Callithrix jacchus: one gene and its partner. The protein of the gene in region 1 interacts with the protein of each later gene in a pairwise test. Links are inferred from orthologs where the notes say so. Each region holds a gene or a part of one and is shown in the gene's direction. Other genes may lie near its edges.

Evidence for each region.
Region 2: the proteins of ZC3H12A (region 1) and AHSP interact in binary tests that used the Homo sapiens proteins (3 or more experiments, as listed by UniProt). The two-hybrid records come from large-scale screens. The link is inferred for Callithrix jacchus from reciprocal best matches to the Homo sapiens genes ZC3H12A and AHSP.

Annotation. Positions count from the first base shown.
Region 1 is NC_133508.1:74,031,714-74,035,528, forward strand, and holds part of ZC3H12A (endoribonuclease ZC3H12A), read left to right. Parts: intron 1-2,646; coding exon 2,647-2,786; intron 2,787-2,942; coding exon of another isoform or gene 2,943-3,060; intron 3,061-3,815. UniProt on the Homo sapiens protein: Endoribonuclease involved in various biological functions such as cellular inflammatory response and immune homeostasis, glial differentiation of neuroprogenitor cells, cell death of cardiomyocytes, adipogenesis and angiogenesis.
Region 2 is NC_133513.1:31,026,368-31,029,302, forward strand, and holds AHSP (alpha-hemoglobin-stabilizing protein), read left to right. Parts: upstream 1-1,244; 5' UTR 1,245-1,360; intron 1,361-1,467; 5' UTR 1,468-1,471; coding exon 1,472-1,546; intron 1,547-1,792; coding exon 1,793-2,026; 3' UTR 2,027-2,137; downstream 2,138-2,935. UniProt on the Homo sapiens protein: Acts as a chaperone to prevent the harmful aggregation of alpha-hemoglobin during normal erythroid cell development. Specifically protects free alpha-hemoglobin from precipitation.

The DNA of each region.
Region 1 (3,815 bases):
CTGAAACTTCCTGTCTCAGCTGCTACTCGGTTCCTGCCTGGCTGCCCCCCTCCCCAGGGGCAGATGGGCTAGCCCCCATCATATGCAAATCATGGGGAAATTCACCTCTGTTTCCTTCTAAGGGAATTTTTCTCCACTCACCAGGCCCAGCCCAGGCATATCTTTTCACCTGGGGAGGCTGGCCTAGCCTTGCCCTCTGTCCTGGGGCAGGAGCAGCCTAGCTGGAGCCTTCTACACACACACATCCTACCAGCGTCGGCTTAGCCAGTCTGGGGGACCCTGACCTTCCGGGCAAAGAGGACTGGGGTGGGGGTGGGGATGTCTGGTTTTTCTGTGCCAGCAGAGCTTCCTTCAGTGCAGTGAAAGAGACAAAAGCTAGCGGCAGGGGAGCACTCCAGGCTCATGTGCTCTACCAAGAGAAGGCTCTGATAGTGCCCACTGATTGCAGTTTTTCCATCTGCTGAGGGAATATTCAGGTGCTAGGGCTTCTGAGAGCCGACTTGTCCTCAGCCAAGATTTTCAATGCCCAGAGGCACTAAACTGCCCTGGGAACCCTGGCATCCCATTAGTTCCCAAGGCTCCAAGATATAGCCTAGGATCATGTGCCCGGAGGGAGGCGGGTGGGTGGATACAGGCACACACTGCATACCTTGGATGGGCTGACCTAGCTGCCATGGTTTTGAGAGGCAGGGCACAAGGCCCAGGGAAGGGGGTAATGTGATGGGGAAAGCACTGGGCATTGTGAAGACACAGACCAGGGATCTGACCCATCATGGGAAGTCAGGGAAAGCTTCTCAGAGGCAGTGACATCTCACTTGGGTTCTGAAGGAGGAGCAGGAGTTTGCCAGTGGCATTGTTTCTCCCATTCGCCACCTCTGATAACACACTTTGTTCAAACTCAATTTTGGGAGCTTTGTTCTCCCAAATAATTCTGGGTCTTCTGTTAGAGACAGGAAGGCAACCGAGTGGCCCAGACCTGGGTTGGAGTTCTGACCGTCTCTTACCACTACTAGCCAGCAGACCTTGGACCAGTCCCATAGCCTTCCTTTCCTTCACGGTAGCAAGCCCTGTCAGAATGAAGGCAGCGGGAGCTCGGTGTCTGCGAATCCCTGCTCGCTCCCTGTGACCAGCATGGGTACCCCTGCCTTTGCACCTGCCTGAGCATTGCCATACCTGGTGGTGATGAGCATAGGCCCTGGGCCTGCGTCTCCGTTCCACCATGACTGCTGTGTGACCCTGGTGACTAAGCTACCCTCTCTGGACCACAGTTTTCATCTGAAAAACAAAGAAGGGGATGCCGTAGTGCCCTTCTCACAGGCTTGCTGATGATTCAGTGCTAGGCACTTAGCACAGGGCCTGTCTCCCTATAATTTAGAGACCTGGTGCCCCAGCCTTGCCCCTAAGGCTGCTCCATGGCCTCCAGCTGCCCCACCTCCCTCCCTACCTTCTCTTAGGGCTCCAGCTATCATCCCTTACCTCCCACCATTAAAAACACCCACAGGATGTGGTCGGCCCTGGACTTGCCTCTTTTGCGTAACATTTATTCTGTTTTACTTGCCAAATGTGAGAGTCTAAGCTGTTAACTGAGGGGACTGTGAGAGGCAGGGCCTCTGGTCCCAGGAGCTCTTCCATGGCACCTAGTTCCCTCACCCTCAGGAAATCCAGTTGGAACCCCCACTTTGCAGGGCCATCTTTGGCCTGAAGCCACCCTGAAAACTATCTCGCCAAGTGACCCCTCTTAAACTGTGGACTGCTGGGCCCATTTTCAGATAAACAGAGCTGCAGCAGCCCAGGAGCCCCGCCACACGTCCTTCTGTCCTGCGTGCAGCCACCTGTGGGTGGGGCACAGCTTGGTCTGAGACCAAGGCAGGGCCGATGTCCCCTCACTCAGCTGTCCTTGCTAAGAGGCCCCTAGCATCTTCCTGATGGTTTTTCTACCTTGGAGAGAAGAGGCGTTTGGGGGAATTGCCATCCTGGGAGGAAAAGCAGTATCCTTTCACTTTCAGGCTGAAAGGCTGCCGGGGAGCCTGCCCCACTCCGGGGCTTTCTGTGCCACACTGAAGGCTGGAGTCACCAGCCCCTTCCCCTTTGCCCTTCTCAGGCCCCAGCCCCTGAGGTGTGTTTGAGGACTGAACGTTAATCCGGAACAATCTGGTTTCTCCTCGGTCAGCCCACCCGGTGCTTCCCCCGCCCCCACCCTCGCTGTAAGAGATGAGGGAGGGGTGGTGACTCAGTGTGCATGTGTACATCTGTCCCTGTGGTCCCAGCAGCTCTTCGGGTGGGGCAGGAACCAGAAGTCTGCCGGCACCTTTCCCCCACCCCCAGGTGTGTTGCAAGTGGCCTGGCCCTCCCCCACCGTGGGGAGCAGTGCTGCCAGCTTCCCTGCACTTCCTTACTTTCAGGAGCCTCAGGGAAAGTCCCAGCGGGGCCTCGCCATCCTGGAGCTGTGGGAACTGGCACTGAGAATGGAGGCCTTGGGCCCCACCTGCAGAGGCCAGGGCCTGAGCCCCACTGCTCACCACTACCCTACTGCTCACCAAAGTCAGGGCAGGGTTAGGGGTGACTGCCTCCCTCCTCCTGCTCAGGCCTAGGGGGTAGCAGGCTGGCCATTGGTGTGGGCTAACCCTGTCCTCCTCTCCCTCCCAGCCATGGGAATAAGGAGGTCTTTTCCTGCCGGGGCATCCTGCTGGCAGTGAACTGGTTTCTGGAGCGGGGCCACACAGACATCACAGTGTTTGTGCCATCCTGGAGGAAGGAGCAGCCTCGGCCCGATGTGCCCATCACGGGTGAGTGGCACCTCTGGAGGTGGGATGGTCTCGCTGCCCCAGCCGCCCTGGTTCCCCCCAGGAGAGACCCTTTGGGAGTGACCTACAACTTCTAGAATTCAAGCAGGGACTAGCATTTCTTTTCTTTTCTTTTCTTTTTTTTTCTCTTTGAGACAGAGTCTTACTCTGTCACCCAGGCTGGAGTACAGTGGCACCATCTCAGCTCACTGCAACCTCAGCCTCCCAGGTTCAAGCAATTCACCTGCCTCAGTCTCCCGAGTAGTTGGGATTACAGGTGCGTACTACCATGCCAAGCTAATTTTTGTATTTTTAGTAGAGACGGGGTTTCACCATATTGGCCAGGCTGGTCTCGAACTCCTGACCTTGTGATCCACCCGCCTCAGCCTCCCAAAGTGCTGGGATGACAGGCATGTGCCACCACGCCCGGCCTTCTTTTCTCACTTTTTCCTGTCCTTAGCAACCCTGCTCTGAACAGTGGTCACTGGATGTCACCTTGTCCAGCCTTCTGCCTCAGATCTGGGGCTCCTCCCTCATCCTACTGGTAGGCAGGTTGCTCTTTCAACATTCCCAGTGGCAGAGGGGCTGTGCCACATAGTGGTTAAGCCTGTGGGCTCTGAGTCAAGACAGCCAGAGTTGGAGTCCTGGCTCTGTCCCCTCCTGGCACCCTGGCCGGGCAGGGACCTCTGTTAGCCCTGCTCTGAGCCACGTGCTCCTCATCTGAAACATGGGGTCGATGGTGGAGAGTGTTGACAGTAGTGCCTTCCTCACAAGGTCATATGAGTTAACACATGGTGAGTGCTGAGAAGAGTACCCGACACATGGGAAATGCTCAGTATATGTTAGCTGTTACCATTGTTCTTGCAAGAGCCCCCAGCCTTTGGAAGTAAAAACGGAATCAGTTTCTCTAGAAGTCTTTAGATCTGGGGGCAGCCAGGCTGGGACTGCAGGCTCCAGGAAGAGGGGCCCTTACCACTTGTGCACATCTGTGTCCTCGTGGTCCCAGCAGCTGCCCACATGGGGCATGGTGAG
Region 2 (2,935 bases), on another chromosome or scaffold:
CAGAGGATGTTTTAGGCTGCAGGGGACATTTAGAGGATGTTTCTTTCCAAGGAAAATGTTCATGTCATGACTTTTATTCCACTAACATAATTTGAACATACAGATGTACTTTTAAATAATGGGCCAGATGACCCCAGTTTATCTACTGGGATATACCTGTATTTGCTTAAAGAAGTGCAGTCTTCTATTAGGGCAGGCGTCCTTTCTACTGTGGAGATTTGCATTCTGAGATCCTGTGAGTCTGAGCCTGTCTGTTAGGAGCTGCCCCTGTCTACTATTAGGGTGGCCTCTTTAGCTTTGGCTCTACACCACGTGGCTGGAAGATTTTTTTTTACTTTGAAAGGGGGCAAAAATGATACAACTTTTCAGTGTACATTTTTGTATTGTTTTAATTATTTCAATTAGTATGTAGTGACTTTGAAATCTGAGAAACATCTACTGAAAATGGAAAATACTAGGAAAAATATTTAAAAAGAAGTATTTCTGCTTTATTGGGTACCTGTCGACATGGTAATGAACAACACAAATGCATCTCCATTCTTTATTTTGTATTATTATTTTTTCTTTGAGATGGAGTCTCGCCCTGTCACCCAGGCTGGAGTGCTGGGGCATGATCTCAGCTCGCTGCCACCTCTGTCTCCTGGGTTCAAGCAATTCTCCTGCCTCAGCCTTCCCAGTAGCTGGGACTACAGGCACACACCACCATGCCCTGCTATTCATTTCCATTCTTGTGGAGCGCAGCCTGGTGGAGTTTGATCTACATGCTTACAGATGGCTTATCTGCAAAATGTGTCTAAAAAGAAATTTTATAGGATAAATTTTTATACATGTTTGAAACTGGCACAAATGAATAAATGTAATGCAAGCTGTTATTAATACATCATCTCTGAATTAGGAGAGTAATTGCCATCATATCATTGTGATTACACAAAGCCTCTGTCATGTAACAGGGTCTCAGTAAATGTCAATTTCCATAGCATTTCGAGCCTGGATACTGAGACATGGGGCAAAGGGCAAGGACATGTCCCCGGTTTGGCTCTTGCATTTTCTGGTTTCCTCATTTATCTGTATTTTTTTTCTTTTCTTTTTGCCTTGTTATCTTTCTAACTTCAGGGAAGCCTCTCCCTTCTTCTCCTCCCCAGAATGACCTATCACCCTCCTTCAGGACCTAGTTGCAGGGCGTTTCTGTTTTAGGCTGACATTCGACTCCTTGCCTACATCTATAGCTTGGCACAAAGAGATTCACACACCCTCAAGAGCGTGGGTGAGACATACACAGCCTGTTAGAGCTGAAGGTGATGCTAACCTGGGAAATCATGACCTCATAGCAGAGCAGGATGTGAGAGGTTTTGGAAAGGAGGTGGCCTTGCAGGGCAGGAGGGATTTTTAAGGGGAGGTGGTGGATTGGGAGAAACACCCAGTGAAGAGGGAAACGAATATGTAAATTCTACCCTTTTCTCTACCCAGACAGATGGCTCTTCTTAAGGCCAATAAGGATCTCATTTCTGCAGGACTGAAGGAGTTCAATGTTCTGCTGAATCAGCAGGTGAGTCCAGGCTTTCCCTTTCAAAGGACTGGCCTGGAGACTGGGGGATGGAGGATGAGGGCAGAAAACAGAGGGTAATTGGAGCGGATGAAGTAATGGTGGAGTTGATGGAAACAGCAAGAGACGCGGGATACAACGCAGAGGAAAGAGGATGTGAGAGCTGGTGTTGCCAGACTCTTCTGAGTTTTCTGAATTCCATTGCTGACCACATTCTCCCTTGCCAATTACCTCTCCGCAACCCCCCAGGTCTTCAATGACCCTCTTATCTCTGAAGAAGACATGGTGATCGTGGTGGAGGACTGGATGAACTTCTACATCAACTATTACCGGCAGCAGGTGACCGGGGACCCCCAAGAGCGAGACAAGGCTCTGCAGGAGCTTCGGCAAGAGCTGAACACTCTGATCAACCCTTTCCTGGCCAAGTACAGGGACTTCTTGAAGTCTCGTGAGCTCCCGAGTCACCCACCGCCCTCCTCCTAGCCCAGGGACCCAGACCCTCCTCTCGGAGAAACTCTCAGACCTTCCTGTCCTCAGGCTATGCTCTTGCTCTACCCCGACACCTCAATAAAGAGCAGTGCTGGTTTTGTTGGACTTCCTGGCTTTTCTTCCATGGTCTGTCCTGACTTGCGGAGGCGGTCGGTCCCTTTCCTCCCGCCCTCCCTCTTAGATATGCTTTTGGAGGCTTAATGCCTTAGATTGGAGGTTAGCAGCCTTGAGTGACCACTGGGCATCGATTCTAAACTAAAACAGGCTGAACGAGGGCCAGGAAGGCGGGGACTAGAGAGGCGGTCGCCTGCGCGGGGAAGGGGGTGGCAGAAACAGGAAAGGGGGATAGAAGCCCCCCAGACATGGTCCGTGGACCTGCTTGTCAAGGAGGAAGCTGTTGGAAGTCTCCCGGTCTTGTTCATCCTGCGCCAGGTCCCCCGCCTCAGCTTTTCAATCCCCTGTTCGTAGCCCCAGTTCAAACAACATTCTGGGATCTTCGGACTCTGACTACCAAAGAATACTTCCTCGGAGCCCCGAGCATTGCAGGAAGTTAGAGCTGGAAGGGATCTTGGGAACCCTTCAGCGCGCCCCTTATGTTTCAGGCGGGTGAGCCCCTTCCCTTTGGGTCCAACATCCCTGGGCGCAGATACCAGGATTGGGAAGCAGAGGAGCCCGCCTTCCCCCTGCCCCAAATTTCTCCGGTCAATTCCCGGCCTAGGGGCCCTTTCTCCCAGACCTCTAGACTCGAAGCCTCTTTATTTTAGGGTTCTGGGCAGAACCAGGGCCAGGCCAGGCTCCCGAGCTTTTTAAAAACGAAAGGTGTTAGACCCGCGGCGCAGTCTCCAGAAAAGGCCTCCAGGCGCAGAGGGGAGGCCCCTAGGGAAGAGTGAGCGGGGCGGCGGC